Ovis aries: one gene and its partners. The protein of the gene in region 2 purifies or fractionates together with the protein of the main gene of each other region. This does not show direct contact. Links are inferred from orthologs where the notes say so. Each region holds a gene or a part of one and is shown on either strand. Other genes may lie near its edges.

What was found.
Region 1: the proteins of CUL4B (region 2) and DET1 purify together in Homo sapiens (affinity purification with mass spectrometry; 3 studies listed by BioGRID and IntAct, counting the BioPlex papers as one, with this or other methods). This does not show direct contact. The link is inferred for Ovis aries from reciprocal best matches to the Homo sapiens genes CUL4B and DET1.
Region 3: the proteins of CUL4B (region 2) and COPS6 purify together in Homo sapiens (affinity purification with mass spectrometry; 8 studies listed by BioGRID and IntAct, counting the BioPlex papers as one, with this or other methods). This does not show direct contact. The link is inferred for Ovis aries from reciprocal best matches to the Homo sapiens genes CUL4B and COPS6.

What each region holds. Positions count from the first base shown.
Region 1 is NC_056071.1:18,907,714-18,911,361, reverse strand, and holds part of DET1 (DET1 homolog), read left to right. Parts: intron 1-3,318; coding exon 3,319-3,508; 3' UTR 3,509-3,648. UniProt on the Homo sapiens protein: Component of the E3 ubiquitin ligase DCX DET1-COP1 complex, which is required for ubiquitination and subsequent degradation of target proteins. The complex is involved in JUN ubiquitination and degradation.
Region 2 is NC_056080.1:104,888,422-104,892,169, reverse strand, and holds the start of CUL4B (cullin-4B), read left to right. Parts: upstream 1-989; 5' UTR 990-1,200; coding exon 1,201-1,228; intron 1,229-1,983; coding exon 1,984-2,529; intron 2,530-2,693; exon of another isoform or gene 2,694-2,810; coding exon of another isoform or gene 2,811-2,832; intron 2,833-3,748.
Region 3 is NC_056077.1:36,794,487-36,798,166, reverse strand, and holds COPS6 (COP9 signalosome complex subunit 6), read left to right. Parts: upstream 1-786; 5' UTR 787-799; coding exon 800-866; intron 867-1,080; coding exon 1,081-1,206; intron 1,207-1,611; coding exon 1,612-1,743; intron 1,744-2,070; coding exon 2,071-2,159; intron 2,160-2,257; coding exon 2,258-2,320; intron 2,321-2,618; coding exon 2,619-2,666; intron 2,667-2,742; coding exon 2,743-2,857; intron 2,858-2,943; coding exon 2,944-3,036; intron 3,037-3,131; coding exon 3,132-3,232; intron 3,233-3,372; coding exon 3,373-3,513; 3' UTR 3,514-3,629; downstream 3,630-3,680. UniProt on the Homo sapiens protein: Component of the COP9 signalosome complex (CSN), a complex involved in various cellular and developmental processes.

The DNA of each region.
Region 1 (3,648 bases), on a different chromosome or scaffold from region 2:
GTCGCAAGGAGTTGGACACAGCTGAGCCACTTTCACTTTGATCATTTAGGCATTAGTATCAAAAATGAATTAGTTCTGCTCTTTGCCTCTCCTCAAAATATCCAATTCAGATAAGTATTGTTCTCTTTTTAAGGTAGCCAGGGAAGAGAACCATACTTTTCAATTTAATGACCTAATACCATTTCACATGAAACTTAAAAATAATTGAGACTTACATTTTACTCAGCTCAAATTATTTTATCCCCTCCTGTTACCTAATGGAAAGGAGAGACAGTTTGGGGAACAAGTAGGTTTTGGAGAAACTCACGCTTCCTCCATTGGAAGAATGTTGGAACGCAGGTTGCCGTGTTACTCTTAGCACCTTGCAGTTCCTTTGTCCCGGGTGTCCAGCTCACAGACCCCCCTGTCCCTCCGTGCTGGGAGCTTGGGTTCTGTTTTTGCTTTCACAGATGCTAGAGAGAGGAGCTGGCACCACTTCCGCTGTGGGGTTATTTCAAGGGAGGTGTGAGCTGGGTTCTGGAAGGTCTTCTTCACATAGAAACAGTGGTAGTTTCTGGAAAGTCTTCTTCACATAGAAACAGTGGTAGTTAGTATTTCATAATCCAGCTTCGTTGTGTATTAAATAGGCTTGTGTAACATATTCTGTGCGATTATTTACTGTTTGTAATATTTCCTTTGGGAAATTGTAATCGAGTTCTGGGAACCAGTTAATTTTTTTATTACGGACATTTTTAAACATGTAGAAGTGGAAGAGTGCAATGAGCCTCCCTGTCCCTATCACCCCACCTCCGCGGCTGTCAGTGTTGTCTCCTCTCTTTCTGCCACCACTGCTCCCCTCCCACCTGCCAGCCTGGATTCTCACAGCCCAGGTATCATAGCATTTCACTTGTAGATATTTCAGTATGAATTTCTAAAAGATAAGGACTTAAAAAAAATATAACCTCAATACCATTATTCCATCTTACGAAAATTAAACCTTTATTAAGATCACCGATATCAAGTGAGTTTTCACGTTTTCCTATTGTTTTGTATATATTCTTTTTATAGTTTGTTCCAGTCAAGACCTAAAGAAGGTCTGTATGGTTTTTTTCTGGTTGCTGTCCTCCTAAGTCTTTTATTTTGTGAGTTCTGCTTCCCGTTACTTTCTTTGTAGTGAAGTGGTTGAAGAAACCAGGTTGTTTGTCTGGTAGTATTCCCCACATTCTGGATTTTTGCTCATTGCATCCCTGGCAGTTCTCATTTCCCCCTATTTCCTGTAAACTGGTCGTTAGATTTAGGATCAACAACTAGCTTTACATTATAAGCCCTTTGTGTGCTGGGGACCATGTGGGTGAGGGGAAGGTTTTCACACATAAAAGCGGATAATTGGGTTCATTTGACATTGTCATGTAGCCCGAGATAACATTTCTCTCCCTTTTGACTGTCCTGCCTTTCTGATTTGAAAAGATAAACTTAAGTAACAAATCTGGAAATGCCATTGACCCTGACTTCTTGTAATTCTTATTTATTTTTTAATTTAAAATGAGAAATGTAGGGATATTAAAGTCATTTGAAGAGATAATGCCGTTACTCTGACACCTTTATTGTATTAAATATATTCCATTCTAGCCTTTGCCAGTGTGTGTGTTTACATTTATGCAGTTGTAGTTACGGTTGGCATAGTACCTTGTAGCCTGCTTTTATTTAATAAATATTTTCCATATTGTTACATAGTCCTTAAAGTTACAGTCCTGATGATGGTGTATTATTCCATAAAATAGATGTGGCATAATTTATTTAGCTGTTCCCCTATTACTGAGCATTTAATCCTCTACCTGCATTTTTACATTAGAGCTAATGCTCTGTGCGTGCTAAGTTGCTTCAGTCATGTCCAACTCTTTGCAACCATGTGGACTATAGCCAACCAGGCTCCTCTGTCCGTGGGATTCTCCAGGCAAGAATACTGGAGTAGGTTGCCGTGCCCTCCTCCAGGGGATCTTCCCAACCCAGAGATCCAACCTTATGTCTTCTGCATTGGCAGGCAGATTCTTTACCACTGAGCCACTGGAGAAGCCCAAAATGCTTTAGTAGCCATCTTGATTCACGTCACTCTTTACTTCACTTAAATTCCGAGGATATAAGCTCTTGGATTATTGAGTCAAGGGATATGAATATCTTTGTATCTCCTATATATTTCCTTTCCGAGAAGGAAATGCATTGTAGAGCTCTTTATTTCAGAGCTCCTTGTTTTCTTGAGCTTCCTCCAATTCAGCCCCAACCCTGCCAGTCATCTCTAGTTCCCAAGTTCACAGGGCACTTGCTTTGCATATGGGCAAAAGGCATTTAAGTCCTGGGATGAATGGAAGCATCTTTGTTCTTACCATGTTAGATGAAAAAGTAGAAACTAGTTAGTATTTTGTTTTTGTGTGTGCAAAAGAACCTTCCAAAAGAATTTCTTAACAGTTAAAAACTCAGGACTTCCCTGGTGGTCCAGAGGTTAAGATTGCACTGCAGTTACTGAGCCCACTTACCTCTACTGCCAAAGCCTGAGCTCTAGAGCCCATGCTCCTCAGCAAGAGAAGCTACTGCAATGAGAAACCCTCACACTGCAACTAGAGAATAGCCCCTGCTCGCCACAACTAGAGAAAGCCTGTGCACAGCAACAAAGACCCAGCACAGCCAAAAAATAATTTTTTTTATACATAAAATAAATTTTAAAAAGAGGAAAGAAGAACTCAAGATATAGGCCTAGATCTGCACTGTCCTCTAGTAACCACCAGCCTCCCATGGCTGGTGAGCACTAACATGAGATGTGCTCAAGTGTGAAGTACACACCAGATTTCAAAGACTTAGTACATAAAAATGAAATATCTCTTGAGTATCTTTTATATTATTGGTTGAAATGATAGTATTTTAGATGCCGATGTTAGGTTAACTAAAATATTATTAAAATTAATTTCACTTTTTCCTTCTTACTTTGTTTGATGTGGCTGCCTGAACATTTAAGCATGCCTACTTGGCTTACATTATCATTTCCAGCCCTGGCCTAGGCGGGTAGGTAGCTGGGCAGATAGCTGCTAGAAAAAGGGAGGCCGTAATCAAGGCCATCACTAAGGGTCATCTTGGGAAAGACAAATGACCCAGTGATTCGGGCCAGCATAGTGAAGTTCATAATCTCCCTGCTCGTAAAATGAGCTGATCAGACATAGGCGATTTTGACTGGGGGCTGACGTTAGAGGAGATTTCATCGGTGAGGTTAATTCATGAGTTTCCTGCTATTCAGGTTTTAAGGTGGTGGTGAATGTCTGTCCCACGCTCTCCTCTCCTTGTTCTGTTTAGGTTCTACGCCCGGGACTCTGGTCTGCTCAAGTTTGAGATTCAGGCGGGCTTACTGGGCCGCCCCATCAACCACACGGTGCGACGCCTCGTTGCCTTCACCTTCCACCCTTTCGAGCCTTTTGCCATCTCCGTGCAGAGGACTAATGCCGAGTATGTCGTCAACTTCCACATGCGCCACTGCTGCACGTAGGTGCCTCACGGAGCCGGTGCCTCACGGAGCCGGCGCCTCTGGCCCGCCCACCCCTCCACCCCATTGCGTCTCAGTGGACTGTGAAGCAGAAGCTCCTGTCACGTAGCCTTGGGGTCCCAGGCTGTGCCTCCGATGTGGAA
Region 2 (3,748 bases):
TCAAACTATTCTAGACTTCTCTCAAATGTCTTTCACCTGTTCCCACGGAACTTTGTACGTTGGTTATAGTACTGTTATAGAAACTTAATTTTGAAACTCTTCTCCCACTGCTTCTCAGTGACAGGACCTGGTATTGTGTCTGGCATACGAAGTGTTTCGGTACATGCTCCTTGAATGTTTCTGTGGTTAGGAAGAGCAACAGGTTGGGAAATTTAGTTTTGTTTGCCAGGTTCTCCTACTTCCCCTTCCCCAATACCCTCGGGTTAAAGAAAAACTCCCAACAAGGGATTTACGTGGCTTATTGTTGTTAATATAACCAAATTTAAAGGTTTGTTTTTAGGATTAATGTTTTAAATTTTGGGCTTGTGTACTATATTGGTAGAAAACATTGACTTTTACCGATATTGCTCTCTTAAAATGTCTGGAGAAATAACATGAACCAGGATTTCGTAAAAAGAAGTGGCTTTGTTTAGTCTGTAAATTACCGACCGGGTTAATGGCTGATGGGAGTTGGAGCTGGGATTGGCCCTAGGAATTGTGCTAGAGGGACGTGTTAGTTACCTTCCTGTTTCTTGGCCTTAAAATGCACCCTTTTAACTCTAGCCAGCCATCTTAGAGAATGCTTCCGGTAGGGTAGGAAGGTAACAGGATTTGCATGTATGTTACTGAGAAAAGTATCAAAACTCAGTATTGAGTCAGCGCTGTCCTTGACATGAAAGAGAAACAATGTATAGCTCAACTGAATGAAACACTCACTTATCTTCTTTGTATCTAAGCTCTTTTCCTTTTCCTGTCCTATCTTAACATCTTGACATCCTCCCTAGCATCAGGCATAATGGCATGACTATGTTTTCCTCCATTTCGAGTTACTCCTCTCGCCTTGCAACCCCTCCTTATTCCTTTATCTCTTTCAAAGTTTCTATTCTCCGTTCCTTTACTTTTACTCCCTCCCTCCCTCTTATTTTCCCAGCTAGCTCACCCCGCCCCTCACCGTCACCACCTTCCCTCCCCTGCAGACTCCTTCCCGCTCCTGCTCCCGCCACCACCCCTCCCTGCCCGCCTCGCATTCTGGAAGCTCCAATCCGGAGCTCCGAAGGTGTCTCGAAGGCCCGCCCCCTCCTTCCTTTCCCCTTCTCTGCCCCCCCTTCTCCCTCCCCCCCCCAAGTCCTGCAGACCTGGGGGCTTCGGGATCTGGGCGCTATGAAAAGTGTCTGCCCAGTCACTTCCGGTAAGGGCGTTGCGGTGCGAAGCTTCCCGCGGGACCTTTTAGGAGAGGGTGGGAGTTATCGGTGGGCCGGGGGAGGAGAGTGCTGCCTAGGCAGGGGAACTGGAGAGGGAGGGGTAGGGAGAGCGAGTGCGAGGGCAGAAGCGCGAGCGTCTCCGGCGCCTCAGCGGCCCCTTTCCCACCGCCTCCCCCCACTCCAGCTCCCCCGCCCCCCGGGCGCCTGCAGTGGTGCTCTCCACCCCCCCCTTTTCGCGGACTGACGCCGCTCCTCCCTCGGCGCCGCGTGACCGGAAGTGGCGCCATCTTTAGCCTCCTGTGCTATTGACAATAACAAGCTCCGGTTCTCTCCCCCTCCCCCCTCCCCCCAAGCACTGCATCTCCCCTCCCAGAGAGAGGGAGAAAAGGAGGAGGAGCTGCAGCCTCACAGACTTACTGAGTCGCTCCTGCAGAAAGGGGGGGAGAGAGACTGAAAAGCAGGGGAGGGGGACGGCACGGCCGTTTACCTGTCTGCCTCCTCATTCGCTCTCCCCCCTTGTTCTGCTCACTCCTGGTGTCAGCCTATCCTCCTTCCCAAACCCTCCCATTCCCCGGGTGGAGCCCCCCCTTCACTTTCCTTCTCGTCCTCTGTGTTTCTCCTCTCTTTATTCCCTTCCCCCTCTAGCATTGCCACCTTCTCTCCTACACGCACGCAGGCATATAAACGTAGGTTTTTGATGCTCGTCTGCCTGTTGACCCCGCTATTTTCATGTTTCCAACAGGTTTTTCTTCCCCCAATCCCTCAGCTGCTGCTGCTGCTCAAGAGGTCAGATCAGCCACTGATGGTAATACCAGCACCACTCCGCCCACCTCTGCCAAGAAGAGAAAGTTAAACAGCAGCAGCAGCAGTAGCGGCAGTAACAGTAGTAACGAGAGAGAAGACTTTGATTCCACCTCTTCCTCCTCTTCCACTCCTCCTTTACAACCCAGGGATTCGGCATCCCCTTCAACCTCGTCCTTCTCGTGCCTGGGGGTCCCAGTGACTGCTCCCAGCCACGTACCGATACAGAAGAAGCTGCGTTTTGAAGAAAACCTGGAGTTTGTAGGGTTTGATGCGAAGATGGCTGAGGAATCCTCGTCCTCGTCCTCATCTTCACCAACTGCTGCAACATCTCAGCAGCAGCAACTTAAAAATAAGAGTATATTAATCTCTACTGTGGCTTCGGTGCATCACGCAAACGGCCTGGCCAAATCTTCCACCACCGTCTCTAGCTTTGCTAACAGCAAGCCTGGCTCTGCTAAGAAGTTAGTGATCAAGAACTTTAAAGGTAACCAGGGCCAAAATCCATGATCACGTACTCAGGATTTGACACTTGAGTGGTCACGTGCTCTATTTATGCTAATATGTTAAACAGTATAGAGGTGGCCTAATGTTTTATGCATAATCAATGAGGAGGAGGGAGGTCCTTTTTGGGTGGAGGGTTCATTTTCCGGGGGTGGTTAGTATCCTTCTGCTGAAGCATACACCAGGTATTTCTGTGCAGTATTTTGAGGTCTGTCTCAGCCTGTTGTATCTGATCTGTTATTCTTCATAACATTGACAGTCGGTATGATTGATCCGGATTTTACAGGTGAGAAATTTGTACTCTAAAAATGTTTATTTATTTCAGGTGCATAGTGAATCTTGGCACTGCTGGGATTTTTATTTTTATGCTTCAGTAGGCCATATTATCTAGTCCCTAGAAATTCAGGTAGCAATAGTGATCTTTTGATGTTCCAAGAAGACTTTTGGTTAGATTTATAATGTTGAATACTACAGTCTTGAAACTCATGGAAGCAGTAGTTGGAGAAAACCATTTATGATCTCTGCATTTCTTTCCAAAGGTAGGGTTTGGAAGTGAAAAATATTGTGTATACACAGAAGTAGTAACTCTAGTAGTAAGTCATCTATCTTTTTTAATCACTGAAATGGGTTTTAAAGTACTGACCTGCAGCTTTTAGGAGAATTTGTTCAAGTTTTTGAGGTATGTGATTGAGAGTATTGTGAATGCATTGATGCAAATATAAAATCAGCAATTTTGCATAATGTAATTGAGCTGAATTACTTTTTAATCTATTGAGTGTGTTTCGGTTTCTCTGCCTGACTTTTTCAACACCCTAACTGGCAACTAATGCTACAATGTTTATTAAGTGGAGAAGTCAAATGAATGAACTAAAGTAATATTGACCAGATCAGTGCCTTGCGACTAAATACTAGTATTGAGAAAATTAGATTCCCCGTGCTTGTATTTTCACCATTAGCGTAGAAATCAGGAATATGCTCTATTTTGTCTCAAGCAAGGGGATGTTGATTTTTTAACCTTTTCTTTTTCCTATCACTCCCACTCCCACCTCCAGGCTCTCAAGTGTTGTAATCTTGCTGATTTAATAGTAGACCTTTCTGAAGTAAATATGAATTGTAATTGACTAGCTTGTTCACTGTTTTACTTTAAATATATCAATTTAACAGCCAAGGATTTTTAAAGAGATGAGCTATGACCCTAATTG
Region 3 (3,680 bases), on a different chromosome or scaffold from region 2:
GATGGGGTAAAGGCAGTGTACCCAACTTGCTTGGGTGCAGGGGTGGGGAGAGGGCTGGAGTTGGCCAGGTTTGCCAAAGTTAAGTTTGGTAAGATTGATGGAGATGGAAGGTAGAGGGAAGTTGGGACGGGTTAGAAAACGCTGGGGGTGTTAACAGAAAGAGGAAAGATAAGCCGTGTAGACAGAGTCACTCAAGACCAGGCTCCACTGCAAAGCATTCACTCAAACGTCACTTAGGTGCCCCTGTGTCAGGCACGGATTTGGTCATCGGTGTTACAGTGATGAAGGTGACAGAGGGCCCTCAGGTGGGCGTGAGTGAGGCGTGTGAAAGGAGCAGACGTGAGGGCCAGTGTGGCTGAAGCAGGGGAACCAAGGAGCAGCAAAGTAGAGCCCATGGCCAGCTGGTCAGGCAGGGCCCGAATCTTGCAGGGCTCTGCAGGCCGTGATTAGGGATTTCGGTTTTATTCCGAGCGCGGCAAAATGACGTTCCATTCATTCTGCAACAGTCTTAGGAACTAAGCGGCCTTATCCCAGTTTTACTGACGAGGACGATCAGGGTGGGGTTAGGTAATTTGTTCACGGTCAGTTGCAGGCGAAAAGGGGCTACAAACACCAGCCGGATCTCCCTGCCCCGGGCCTTCCCCGCAAGGCCCGAGTCTTCCCCGCAAGGCCAAGTAGGAACGGCCCGGAGTGGCCCAGGGTGCGGGCAGGCGTGCGCCTCGGCGACAACGCGCATGCGCCGCTGCCTACGGAAGCCGGGAGGGAGGGGGCGGGGCCGACGCTGGCGGGCGCGGGGGAAATGGCGGCGACGGCGGCAGCGGCGAACGGGACTGGAGGGAGCAGCGGGATGGAGGTGGATGCTGCAGGTAACGGGCCGTGCGGGGGCGGCTTCTGGAGACTTCCTGGCGGGCCTGTCGAGGCCTTCCTAGAGTCCCGGGAGCAGTCGGGATGGCGAGCCGGCAGCGAGCTCCCTGGGTTAACTTGCGGGAGGGATGGATGGCCCGACTTTGCCGTCTCCCGTTCCCGGCTCCCGGGAGGAACGTGGGGCCTGGACTCTCACCCCCTCTTTCCCCTCCTTAGTCGTCCCCAGCGTGATGGCCTCCGGAGTGACTGGCAGCGTTTCAGTCGCTCTTCATCCCCTCGTCATTCTCAACATCTCAGACCATTGGATTCGCATGCGCTCGCAGGAGGGGCGGCCTATGCAGGGTGAGTGTTCGGCGTCATTCTCCAGCCTCCTCCCCTCAAATAGTGGTCCTTTCTCCTTCCTTTGCTGAAGCTAGTTCCTCCTCCGCAAATCATTTCTCTAGTACTTGGTTCACGTGACCTCAGACCCTCAGGCTATTATTAGAGAAGTTTGAGGATTCCTTTAGTGTTAGTCGCTCAGTCTTTGTGACTCCATGGACTGTAGCCCACCAGGCTCCTCTGTCCTTGGAATTCTCCAGGCAAGAATGCTGGAGTGGGTTGCCATTCCCTTCTCCAGGGGAATCTTCCTTACCCAGGGATTGAACCCAGGTCTCCTGCATTGCAGGCGGATTCTGTACCATCTGAGCCACCAGGGAAGTCCTGGAGGAGTCCTCACCCTCACCTCTTCTGTGTCCTTTTCTCCTCCAGTTATTGGGGCTCTGATCGGGAAGCAGGAGGGCCGAAATATTGAGGTGATGAACTCCTTTGAACTGCTGTCCCACACCGTGGAAGAGAAGATTATCATTGACAAGGAATATTATTACACCAAGGAGGAGCAGTGTGAGAGGGGAATAGACGTGGGGGAGAAGAGTGGGAGTAGGGGAGAAAAGAATGGGGAAGATGGAGAGGGTTGGGGAAAAAATAAACAGAGAAATAGGACCAGAGTAGAGGAATAATGAAGAGAGAGTAGCTGAAGAGACCTTAGAAAAAGAACACATATGGGTTATTCCTCGCAAAGAAAGCAAGGAGTGAGAAAAGACAGAATAGATTAGTTGTTCTACGTGGAGCCAGGATGGGAAGGGGAGAAGCTGGTAAAAACACACCAGGAGTTTCAAATTGAAGGATGATTTAAAGATATACTGTGTGTCCTGGCCCCTTTCTCTCCAGTTAAACAGGTATTCAAGGAGCTGGAGTTTCTGGGTTGGTACACCACAGGTGGGCCACCTGACCCCTCCGACATCCACGTCCATAAGCAGGTATACACGTTCACACAGGTACATATTGGGGTGGAGACGAGAGAATGAGGGGAAGGAAGATGGACCCTGACACACATGTGCATCCTCCCTTCTTCCAGGTGTGCGAGATAATTGAGAGCCCTCTGTTTCTTAAGTTGAACCCTATGACCAAGCACACAGATGTGAGTACAGTGACCCCGTGCCCACTTTGTCCTGCCTGCCTGTCGCTCTGCCCCTGCTTTTATTGTATGACATCTCTGTTGAATCTTTTTGCAGTTTACCATCTGTGAGACTTGTCATTTAACCTTTAAACTGCATTTTCCCCGCATGTGAAAATGGGAATGAGTTCCACTTCAGTAGGTCCTTGGGAAGATTAGCTGAGGAAATGTAATGTGAAAAGGGCCCAGTCCGGTTTTGGTGCTTAGTGTAGGTTCAGGTGTCTGATGTTTAGTTAAGAGCTGTGCTCTCTCTTCTTCACAGCTTCCGGTCAGCGTTTTTGAGTCAGTCATAGATATAATCAATGGAGAGGTAGGTAATGCCCTACCCTTCAACCCACACAGCCTGCCCCTGGGGTCTGCTGCTTTTGACTCTGTGTGTCCCATAGGCCACCATGCTGTTTGCTGAGCTGACCTACACTCTGGCCACAGAGGAAGCAGAACGCATTGGGGTGGACCACGTGGCCCGAATGACAGCAACAGGCAGTGGAGAGAACTCCACTGGTAAGGGTGGCTGCAGGGGCTTCCTTAGAAGTGGGGGGAAGGTGTGGCCACACACCTTCTCAACTTCAGCCTGACCACCCCCCCAGTGGCTGAACACCTCATCGCACAGCACAGCGCCATCAAGATGCTGCACAGCCGCGTCAAGCTCATCTTGGAGTACGTCAAGGCCTCTGAGGCAGGTAGGACAGTTATCTCCCTGGTCCCTGAAGCACGTTTGCTCTCCCTCCTGGGGAAGTGACAGCATCCGCATTGATGCAGCTTCTTGTGCCTTCAGGCGAGGTCCCCTTTAACCATGAGATCCTGCGGGAGGCCTACGCTCTGTGTCACTGCCTCCCGGTACTCAGCACAGACAAGTTCAAGACAGACTTCTACGATGTGAGTGCAAGGCTCAGGATGGGGAGGTGGGGCTCCTGCTGTCTTCTGCATGCAGGATATGACCGGCTCCTGTTCCCTGGTCACATGGTGGGGGACCCAGAGCTCCTGGGAAACTTTGTTTTTTTTCTGTCCCCTCACAGCAATGCAATGATGTGGGGCTCATGGCCTACCTTGGCACTATCACCAAGACGTGCAACACCATGAACCAGTTCGTGAACAAGTTCAACGTCCTCTATGACCGACAAGGCATCGGCAGGCGGATGCGGGGGCTCTTTTTCTGACGAAAGGGTACTTGAAGGGCTGACGTACAGGGGTCAGACAGCTGTCAAGGGGAGGGGTGCTACACTCCCTTGAGAGAAACCTGTCACTAATAAAAGGGGAGCAGCCCCCAGCACCCCTTCTAGTGGCTCTGTTCTCTCCTGTGGGCACCGTGGATGGCTGAGGGGGA